Oryza sativa Japonica Group: one gene and its partners. The protein of the gene in region 1 interacts with the protein of each later gene in a pairwise test. Links are inferred from orthologs where the notes say so. Each region holds a gene or a part of one and is shown in the gene's direction. Other genes may lie near its edges.

Region 1 (3,752 bases):
TTTCGGGAGGTGAGATTGGAAACTCACCTCCTACGCACGTAAAATGGAGTGACACATTTTCTTATGATTAATAAACCATTTACTATTTTTTTTAAAAAAATAGATTAATATGATTTTTTAAGCAATTTTGTATATAAAATTTTTGCAAAAAAACATACTGTTTTTAGCAGTTTAAAAAACGTACGCGTGAAAAACGAGGAAAGTGAGTTGAAAAATTCGGAGAAAGAACTCAGCCTAAATTTGTAGAGAGAGAAAGAGAGATGAGAGGAAAATAGAACTAACCTTGTATTTTGGGACGCATGGAATAGGAGCTTATAGCAACTTGTTGACTTTACTATTAAATTTGCTCTTATCACTTTAACCGTGTAGATCCAGTTTGAATACAGAGGCTAAATTTTATAGCCCCATCGTTTGGCCTAAACAGCCAAAGAATAAGCCAAAATTTGAATTTTTGAACTTGATTTTGAAGTTGATTTTGAAATGCTTTTAACGTAATTTTTGTTAATGTTGGCTTTTAAGTCGCTACGAACAAATCTACAAAAGTTTTACTTATAAATTAATTTTAATTTTCTAATAAGCCAAATAAGTCATTTTGGGTAAAATGACAACCGATGGGAGCCTTAGTCAACTCTCTAAAAAAAGTAATCATTCACTTGCAAAAGAAAATGGATATATACCTCCACTTTAACCGCTTACCATGATAGTACCTCAAAAATCATAGGGACCATTTCGCAATAATCTCACAACACAAGGACTAGAACCACAAAATCCATGTCATTGGCCATGGCCATGGGGGGTCATGCATGACGATCACCAAGCATACATACATACATACATACATGCCATGCACCCCCGAAAATATCAAGGCCATGTCAGCAATCGCCAGGAGGCGATCCGCCAAGCCAAGCAAAGCCTTCCCACCCCCCCGCCGCACTCACGAATAAGTATCTCACCCCGCAGCTACCCCACCCGCCTATCACCGACACGTGGGCCCCACATCACCCGCCCCCACGTGTCGGCGACCCGGAACCGCCGCGTGGGCCCCCACCCCACGCGCGCGCGCGGGTGGGAAATAGCGCGGCCACTACCACCACCACCACCACCATCCCCGGAAAAAATCTTTTTCTCGCCTCTCCTTCCTCCGAGCCGTTTCTCTCCCTCTCTCTCTCCTCCTCCTTCCCCTGCGCCTCCTCCACCGCCCGTGTCGCCGCCGCGCGCGTCTATCCCCTCGCCGCCGCCGCCGTCTACGCCGCGTGAGGTCCGGATTGGTTGAAAGGCTGATCGAGGTAATGCTTTTTTATTTTTCCCGTGCGGTTTTAGTTTTTCTGTGCTGTGCTTGGTGGTTTTTTCTTTAAAACTATTTTTAGGCTGGTTTTGATGATGGCCTTTCTAAGGTTGTCGTGTATGGGGGGCGAGGTGGTTCGGGTGGATTTGTGGTGTTATGTTGAGGGGATTTTTGTTTGGGGGGAGAGAGTTTTGGTGGTAGATGCGGTTGGGATTTTGAAGACGTGAAAGGGAAATTAGTTTTGAAATTTGACGGCGAGGTTGAGCTGATTAGTATTGTAATAATTCGTGGCATCGGATAGATCAACGCGAGATGGATGCTTATTACTGCGAATTTCAGGAGGTTTTTGTGGTTTTTTTAGGCGAGTAGCGTTGATTCTAGCTGGATTTTGCTGCTTCGTGGAGGCGTTTAGATGTGGTGCATACGGCTGTGGATGTAATTTGTGCGGGGATAATTACTGAAAATTAATTCGCAGTAAGCTAGCTCTGCTTTAATATTTTTTCCCCTGAAACAGTAACAAGGGATCCCTTCCTCATTTCGTTAACAGTGGAAGTGAATACAGACACCAACCGATGAGCAGAGACACCTGTAATTAAACACCAAAAGAAGAACCTGTTTTGTTCCTATATATTTTCCATTTCTATGCTTTAGGTAATATACTTTCTGGTTCGGTGTCATAGTACCCGAAATAGAATCTTTGCTTGCCAAAAAAAGAAAGAATAACAAGATAGAACAACATCATTAAATTCTGTCTTAGACAATACATTTATAATCGACCAACAAAAACAGACCGATGAGTGACGTGGAATAACAAATGAAGTATAAATGTCACGAAAAACACATCTATTGATTTTGTGTGATAAGCCATAGGAGCCTACGAGGAACCAAGTGAATGGTTCTGTACACCACATCCATTAGCATTACCATAAATTTGCCTATTTCTATGATGCCTTCCTTAACATATTTATCGACATGTGAGCTTGCACCATAACTAAATGTTATGGTAAACTTTACCTTATAAATGATTGCAACATGTACCTTTTCATTTCGATAATTAAAAACGAGAAAGCTTCCACCTTTTTCCTAGATATATTTTTTCGTTTGATTATGAATTTAGTTGTACTTGACAATAAAATAATGCGCTTGTAAGATTATGCAATTTTCGTTGCATTACCTCCCTCTCTTTTCATTTGTCAGTTTTTTTCTACTCCCTCCGTTTCATATTTTAAGTCGTTTGACTTTTTTCCTAGTCAGACTTTGTTAAGTTTGACAAAGTTTATAGTAAAATTTAGCAATATCTAAAATATTAAATTGGTTTCATCAAATCTAACATTGAATATATTTTGATAATATGTTTTTTTTGTGTTGAAAATACTTCTATATTTTTCTATAAACTTAGTCAAACTTGGAAGAAATTTCAGTAAGAAAAAAGTCAAACGGCTTATAATATGAAACGGAGGGAGTAAATTTTTTTTTGCATTAATTAAAATTCATGTATTTTCCTCCTTTTTTGGTTTTTGTTGTGCGATATATTACAGTGTAGAGACTCTGAAGCTCATATGGTTGGCATTGGTTGATATGATAACGTGTCACGTTGTGAGATGCAGACCCCCGTTATGGGGGTTGATTGAATGAAGTGGATAGCACTCTTATAACTTTCTTGCTCGAAGTTTCTTGATACCAAGGCAAGTAGCTTATAAGAAGATTTGGACTTTGGTGGCATAAATGGATGAACTAACTGGCGGCTTCAACGTGGTGTTGATTACAGGTGCTTTTATTGCTAACTGGAGCAGTTTGTGTAGTTTCTTTCTTTCTCTTTGAGAATTCTCTCAGTTTCTTGGGCAGGCTCTTGAGCTACCAAGTATGTCAGCTTCAAATGAGAAGTGGATTGATGGGCTCCAGTTCTCATCACTGTTCTGGCCCCCACCACAGGATTCACAACAAAAACAGGTAACATTATTCCTATTTGATTCTTGTTAGAAATTCTATATGTTGAACATACTTGCCTCAATGGGAAACTTGGTTGCGTCTCCTCTCTGAAGGCACAAATTCTGGCCTATGTTGAGTACTTTGGCCAGTTTACAGCTGACAGTGAGCAATTCCCTGAAGATATAGCTCAGGTACTGTATCTCTAAGCATGTTTAGTATCTTCTGTGATAAAATCTTTCTCCAGTGTGTTAACTTTTGCATTCTTTTTCTTGCATGCTTGCAGCTAATTCAAAGTTGCTATCCATCAAAAGAAAAGCGCCTTGTAGATGAAGTATTAGGTAATTTGATCCAGTGATCAATACATGTTCCACAAACAATTGAAGAAAGAGTTTGACATATTTTTCTCATATTTCCAGCAACTTTTGTTCTTCATCATCCTGAGCATGGCCATGCAGTTGTGCATCCGATTCTGTCACGCATCATAGATGGGACACTCAGTTATGATAGAAATGGTTTCCCGTTCATGTCCTTCATCTCT
Region 2 (3,752 bases), on another chromosome or scaffold:
CCATCTCCAGGAGGTAACACGCCGGCTCCGGCTAGGGACGAGTGCTTGGAGGCTCTCATCCTGACGGGATGGGGCGAGGCGTGTGTCAGACCGCCTGTCGCCACCTAACCCACGATCTGATCGGTCTGTGACTGGTCACAGACCGGATAAACGAGCGCGCTGCACTGCGTTACATGCGGCGTGACGCGCTCGTCCAAACCGCAATAAATGCGGTTAGGTGAGCCCTACTGCGCTCACCTAACCCATACACGCGGCGCAAGACCTACAAGGGGTCGGGGCGCCTCAGCCCTCGGGGCCGAAACGGGAGCGGTCCGACCCCTCGGGGAGACAAAGAGGGGGGCGGCCACATCACCCTCGGGCCCGACCCCCCCGAGGGGGTCAGGCCTCGTGGGTGATTGCTCCTGCCCAAGCCTCTAGTCATGATACTCCCGGTCCCATGTCACCGACACATGCCATGTGGCCCTTTTAGACAAATGAGATTAATATGGGTTAATTTTGTGGGAAGAAATTGCCCATTGCTAATGAGGTTTAGTATGTCAATTGTAACTTTTAAATTAGACTACTACTAGTAAGTTTTAATATCCGCACTAGCTTTTTTAAGCATAGAAACGCTTCTTAATAAATATACATCTATAAAACTATATTAAGATATACAGTATTGTTATTAGAGCAGGCTCTAACGGGATTAACTTACCACGGTCGAGGTCAACATTTCATCCTCATATCTTCCCTTCAGAAACACAGGGCTGGTTTGGTTTGTGGCTAAAATTGGCCTTACCAATTTTTGGCAATGCCAAATTTTGGTAAGTTTTAGCATGGCTAGTTTTGGCAAGTTAAAGTTGTGTTTGGATAGAAGTCAAAATAGCCTAACTTAACTATTGAAATGGCCTATTTTCTTAGGCATGCCAAAATTTGGCTTCAAACCAAATAGACACTAAACACTATTGAAATTGCCAAATATTGATAAGGCTAGTTTAGACCTCAAACCAAACCAGCCCACAATTAATTTCTCTGTGTCAAGCAATTACTAGTGGACTGTCTAAAAATCATTGCAGACTGTTGCTCCCACAAGGAAAGTAAATAAAGGAATAAAGTAAAAACTGAGGGGTGGCAGCCAAAAGATACAGCAGAAAAAAAAAAAGCTGCAGGAGTCGACCAGAGCCCAGCTGCAATAGCCTGCGAGTCGGCAGTACAAAAGGCAAAGCGAGCGCACGATGAACTTGTAAAGAAGGGAAAAAAAATACGAAAAGCAAAAAGGAATAAACGGAGGGGGCTAAACACCAAAATTCCCCCTCTCCTTCTCCTTCCCCTCCTCCCGAAACCCTCGCCGCCGTCGCTGTCGAAACCCTCGCTGCTGCTGCTGCCGCACGGCGCGGCGGGGTACCGGGTCCCCCTCCCTGCGGCGGCGCGGAGGGGTAGGTCTCCCCCCCCTCGCTGCGGCGTGGCGGTGGGGGGTGCGGTGCCGGCTGCCGCGCCATGATCTTGCGCCGGTGGACTGCGCCTATCCAATGTGAGCTCTCCTCCTACTTCCGCCGCGGCATTAGGGTTCTTGCTTCTTGAGCTGGAAGAGTTCTCTTGCGTTGCGAACGCCTACTGTTTCCTGCGAATTCTTAGTGCTTGTTCTTGGATTCTTTCCGGGGGTGTTCTTAATCTGTTGTTTGCAAAAGTTCTTTTTTTCTTTTTTTGGCTAGGGTTTTGAAATTTGCAATCTTGGTGTTCTTTTCCCTGAGTTTTTACTAAAAAGCTGCGGCTTTTACGCAATTCGGTGGTAGTCCAAAGCCGCGTCCTTTTTTTCTAGTCTTTACGCGCATTTGGCTCCAATTTTTCTCCTTTTTTTAGACGCGTTTTCTTCACGCTAATATTCGCAACTGAAATCTTAGACCTAACGAACCATTCTAAAATTGATGATCGTTACATTCTTTCTGCAGAAAAAAAAAAGATAAAGATAGAACAAGTAGGTTACTTTCCGTACCATGGGGCGACCGGGGATGGACTCCAGCGAAGGGAGGGAGAGCAATGGCGTTGTTCCTGAACGTAATGGTGGTGCTGTCCCTGCAAAACAGCAGTTGGACGGGAAGGACACCTTGCGGTACGCCAACATCCTCCGCTCCCGCAACAAATTTGCCGAAGCACTCCAGTTGTACAATAATGTCCTTGAGAAGGATGAAGCCAATGTGGAGGCCCTTATTGGCAAAGGGATTTGCCTCCAGGCACAGAGCCTACCTATGCAGGCCATCGAGTGCTTCAACGAGGCCGTCAGGATCGACCCAGGGAATGCATGTGCTCTCACTTATTGTGGGATGATATACAAAGATGAGGGTCACTTAGTTGAAGCTGCAGAGGTATGCGTAAGATTCTTCATGTGGATTCCCTGTTCTTACTGTTAGCTTATTCGTTATTGTGAAATCTGATAGTTTTTCTTTTTAGTTTGTTGTCATAAACACTAGAAGTCTCAAATGTTGTATATGTGGTTCTCTGAAAGCAAAATACTCAAATGCTGAAGTAAGTGCCTCGCACAGTCGCACTCCCCAAAATACCAGGCAATGAGACTTGGGACTTAACTGCCAATTTCTGACTTCTGAGGGTACTGCAGACCTATTTTTAGCACCAAGTTATATCTTGAGTGGTTTGTGTCCAAGAACTGTAACTAGAAACCAAAACAACTAGTTTGATAAGTTCTTGATCAAGCATACTATGCAAGAGATAAAACTGTCGAGATAATCACTCAAGAATTTTCCAGCAGAAGATTTTTTATTATCTCCATGACATACTTATTAGCACCGTAAAATTTTGTGCGTAGCTGGTGGATAGAATGACATGTGAATGAGCTAAGGCTCAGCTAGAGCTGCAAAAAGAGTAATACTTTTGCCCCTTGGAGAATAGTGGTCCCTATTAATTGGCAGGGTTGTAAAAATCCTAAGTTCCTAACCAATCTAACATATAAGATCAAAACAGTTGGTCAGTCCAAAAATTCTCTCGGAAAAGCTTGGAATTTCGACATTGTTTCTGTATTTATTATGTGATATATTTATCCATAAATGTTCTGATGGAGAGAAATTGTAACAGGCTTATCAAAAAGCTCGAAATGCAGATCCTTCCTACAAACCTGCTGCAGAGTTTCTTGCTATTGTGTTGACCGATCTTGGAACTAGCTTGAAGCTTGCAGGTAATACAGAGGAGGGGATTCAAAAATATTGTGAAGCTTTGGAAGTTGACAGCCACTATGCGGTACCATCACCAGCTATAATTTATATCTAGATCTCTATTATTTTGTTTTTGTTATCCATTTAAGTTTTTTAATGTGTTCATCTGATTAATGTAGCCTGCTTATTACAACCTTGGTGTGGTTTACTCGGAGATGATGCAATTTGATTTGGCTCTTACTTGTTACGAGAAAGCTGCTTTGGAGAGGCCATTGTATGCTGAAGCTTATTGCAACATGGGAGTTATTTACAAGAATCGTGGAGAATTAGAAGCAGCAATTGCCTGCTACGAGAGGTAAGCTTTATTTTTTCTGCTCATACAAATTATGCTGATTCCCAAAGTACTGTTGAAAACTAATGTTGACTTATCTTTACTGTATCCCAGGTGCTTGACTATTTCCCCAAATTTTGAGATTGCCAAGAATAACATGGCAATAGCACTAACCGACTTGGGTACAAAGGTGTGGTCTTGCTACCTTTTGTTTCAACCAAATCAACACATTGCTTCTTGTGGTGTCCTGCATGTCAATCATAATGGTTGCCATCACT
Region 3 (3,752 bases), on another chromosome or scaffold:
CTTTTTAGCATTGACTTTTAAATCACCAAGAACATAAATATAAAAGTTTTACCTATAAATTTATTTTTATTTACTATTAAGCCGTTTTGATATATTAGAGGATATGAGCAAACGATGAGACTCTTTCTTTATTTCTCTCTCAAAAGAAAAAGGCTTATTTATTATTCCCCTCACTTTTAAAACGTAAAGATTTTTAGGATTCAAATTTTATATTAAATGTAAGCATTCCAAAACTGATTCTCATGATTACAATCATTTTAATGATTCCAAAGCCAATCAGATGATTGAAAGTGAAATTCAAACAATTCAAAATTTAAAAATTGATAACCGAAGTGATTAAAAGGGAATATTTGGACCTAAATTTAGTATTTGCTAAACAACCTATAAATCGTTGTATTTTAGAATGGAGGGAGGAGTTTTCATGTGAAATGTAGTATTATTTTAATACAATCAATTAAGTCTCAGTCTTCATTGACTACTATGAATGAATCAGACAAAAATAATTTATGTTCAAACTTCTATATTAGTGTTATTAGCGATTTTGAAAGACGATACTAGAAAATAGATTAAGAAGAAAAAAAATCTTAAAATCAACTTAAAATATAACCTTTTAAATTCAAATTTTGGCTAAGCTCAGTAAGTTAACATGTAGACGATGAGAGGATATAAAATTTTACATGGTTTTACTACTAAGCCGTTGGATTGCGATCGGACGACGACTCTCATGCATCTGGCTTGTTGAGCAGTGGAGAATTGGAGATTTTTTTACAAACATTGTACTGTGATCTGGGCTGGGTGGCAGCCAGATTGGTGGGAGTAGATTCCATTTCACCATGCATCTTCTCAAGAAAATTCCTAGCACAGTTTTGTGCTACAGCAGCAGCAAAAAAAATAATGCAGATGATGGCTCATCCATGCACGGCCATTGTACCAGCACAGTGTAAAGAAATAAAAATTGGCAACAAGAGGCAACCATCTCATCTCATCTGGACTCACCTAGAGTATGGATCATCTCCCCTGTCCATGCATGCATGCATGCTGCAAGAAAATGCATATACAAACATTCAGAAAATTATATTTGATATTGATATTCATTTGCCTCCCATCTCCCTCTCCAACAGTGCCATCTCTGATCACACCCACACTGTGAAGTGAAGTCAGTCATCTCCAAGAGAAGCAAAAGCAAATGCAAAGCCTTCACCTCTCACCTCACATCCATTGCTGCATGGACCATGGCACCAATGCACCATGCACATCTCCAGCATCTCCATCTCCATGAGTCCATGTGCATTCAAGCTTAGCAGCAGCAGCAGCAGCAGCTGTATGTGTGGGTGTGGCCATGGTGCTTTCTTTGCATTGCATTGCATTGCAATGCATGCACTGTTTGCTGCAGCTGCTGCAGCTGCAGTGACTAGTCTAGCTCTCTCCATCTCTTTCTTTCTCTGCTTCTTTGTTTCTTTCTCTGTCTATAAATACAGAGGCCTCTCCTTTCCACCCAGCCCTTTTCCTCTCCTCCTCCCGTCTTTTCCACCACCACCACCCTCGCGTGCCCTAATTTCTCGCTGCTCCTTGTCCCCCACCTCCTTTACTTGAGCTTGCTCACCACTGCCTCCATATACAGAGAGTCTTCTCTGTATTTCTCTCTCTCAGTGGGAGGCTCACAAGAATCTTTCAGCTCACATCTCACTGTCCTTGCCTTTCTCTAGCTAGGTACTACTACTGCTAGTACTAACCACTGCTCGTGTTCTTGGGACTTCTTCTTCTTCTTGTTCTTGTTCTTAAAATCATTTGGGGTTTTGAGCTCCAGGGAGGTCCAAGAACAGAGCAGCAGGATGGTGCAGTGGCGTTTCTGTAAGTGAATCCTACTACCTTCAGTTTCTTGAGCAGTTTCAGTAGTGTAGAGCTTATGATGTAATGCAGCAGGTGCCATGTGTGTTGTGCTCTGAAGAAAGCTGTTCTGTGGGTTGCTTTGTTACTATGTTTTTTGTGTTCATGTTTCTTGGTCTGTATGGCTCTACATGTTGGGTGTTTTTGGTCAGATTTTGTCTCTCCTATATCTGCTAGTCTGTTTTTCTGCAATAGATCTTTCTGTTAGATTTCTTGTCTTGTAGGGAAGTTGGTAGAGGATGTGCTCTCAGGGTAAGGATTGATTGTCAGTTTGCTTAGTTCTTTCTTTTGATTCACCAGTTGGGATTTAGTTAGTATGGATAGATAATCTGCTAGGTTGGGGTTAAATGTTGCCTCTGATATGGTGAGTGAAACTACTTTTGTGGATTTTGTATGGATTGTGGTTAGTGGGTGAAATTTGTGTTCTTGATTGAAACATCTACCTAGTTCTTGAATCTTCAATGGCAGCATTATTGTACTGATTGTTGTATGGTCCAATAATGTATTTAGGGGGATTCTACTTACTGCTAGTCTGCTCCCAGATATGAAGATTTGATTCTGTTTTTTTTCCTCTTCAAATGTTTCTTTTTTATAATTAGTTGAAATATGCTATTATCCAGAGTACTTTTGGGGGTTTATGGATTGTTTCCTCCTACTCAAGAGAGGTAAACAAAGTAACTTCTTCAGTACAGATTTTCCAGAGATGCCATTTCTTCTTCATCATTCCTCCTTTGATTACTTCATGATTGTTTTTACCTGCTTCTCAGCCCATATCCCTTGGAACATTCACTTCCATGAAAATTACCACCTAAGGAAAAAAAAACAAAATGGTCAGTAATTGAGAACTTGCTATATTAGTTACCTGAAAGATAGTAACACCCAGCAACACAGATCCATGTTTCAGTATACTTGTGGTATAGGAGTAGTATAGTATAGTATACCCCCACACTGCTTTCAATTTGTCAGTACTACTACTGTGGTAGTAACATCTAGCCAAGGAGGATACAACGGTCCAATCCAATCAGATCAACAAACAACAACACATTGATTTCTTTGGCCTACTACCATGCTTTCAACATTCTTTCATTTTGTTTCTTCTTGGTTAATGCTTGAATTTCTAGATGAAATGGATGGCACAAGACCACTCTTGAGGAATCCTAAGTTTCCTATAAATCCCTTTTATAAATACTTTTTTTTAGAAACAACTGTTTTGTCTCAACTTAAAAAAAATAAAATCAAAAGCATATTGCTTGCAAGAATTCAGAAGATGTTCTAGGTGAAATTCTTGCAGATTTTATTGCATTTCTCTCTCATGAGTCCTTCATTACAATTAGGTGAAAACTAAAGAGGTGCCATATTAAATAGAGTGAATTTATTGCAAATTAAATTGGTTTTCGATTTGTCAAATTTGCTCGAGACACCTAACCAACTAACCCTTATTGTCCAAATCAAAATTCCATCTCGTGCGCAATTAGCCCTGGCCATAGCTTTAATTCGTCATTAGTAGGCAACCAGTGGGGGCTCCAAATGGTCCTAGAATCATCACTTTTACTTTGGATTTGCTTCTGCCTCTTGCACATTCCCTTATTTTGTAGCCTTCTTGAGGGTATTAGGTAGGTGTTTTGGCAGATTATCTCCCCATTGATCAGCTCCCAATTAATGCCAGATGGTGACACTGCTAAAGATGGAAGACAAGCTTGCGAGAAAACAGTGGTAGCCTTATTATTTCCTCTCACAAGAATTGTGCCCACAACTTGTCCTGACATCTGTGAATTTGTCTGTATGTTGATAGTAATAGCTGGATGAATCATGGGTGCTTAACAATGCTCTTACTTACCAATAGTGTTTATGGTCGGTTGGCCCTT

What was found.
Region 2: the proteins of protein GIGANTEA (region 1) and protein O-GlcNAc transferase interact in binary tests that used the Arabidopsis thaliana proteins (3 or more experiments, as listed by UniProt). The link is inferred for Oryza sativa Japonica Group from reciprocal best matches to the Arabidopsis thaliana genes GI and SPY.
Region 3: the proteins of protein GIGANTEA (region 1) and protein rough sheath 2 homolog interact in binary tests that used the Arabidopsis thaliana proteins (3 or more experiments, as listed by UniProt). The link is inferred for Oryza sativa Japonica Group from reciprocal best matches to the Arabidopsis thaliana genes GI and AS1.

Annotation. Positions count from the first base shown.
Region 1 is NC_089035.1:4,346,428-4,350,179, reverse strand, and holds the start of protein GIGANTEA, read left to right. Parts: upstream 1-1,099; 5' UTR 1,100-1,286; intron 1,287-2,823; 5' UTR 2,824-3,053; exon of another isoform or gene 3,054-3,130; 5' UTR 3,131-3,148; coding exon 3,149-3,235; intron 3,236-3,327; coding exon 3,328-3,405; intron 3,406-3,497; coding exon 3,498-3,552; intron 3,553-3,630; coding exon 3,631-3,752. UniProt on the Arabidopsis thaliana protein: Involved in regulation of circadian rhythm and photoperiodic flowering. May play a role in maintenance of circadian amplitude and period length. Is involved in phytochrome B signaling. Stabilizes ADO3 and the circadian photoreceptor ADO1/ZTL.
Region 2 is NC_089042.1:28,137,702-28,141,453, forward strand, and holds the start of protein O-GlcNAc transferase, read left to right. Parts: upstream 1-1,221; 5' UTR 1,222-1,510; intron 1,511-1,928; 5' UTR 1,929-1,973; coding exon 1,974-2,342; intron 2,343-3,066; coding exon 3,067-3,228; intron 3,229-3,322; coding exon 3,323-3,498; intron 3,499-3,588; coding exon 3,589-3,664; intron 3,665-3,752. UniProt on the Arabidopsis thaliana protein: Probable O-linked N-acetylglucosamine transferase (OGT) involved in various processes such as gibberellin (GA) signaling pathway and circadian clock.
Region 3 is NC_089046.1:24,248,449-24,252,200, reverse strand, and holds the start of protein rough sheath 2 homolog, read left to right. Parts: upstream 1-1,501; 5' UTR 1,502-1,851; intron 1,852-3,752.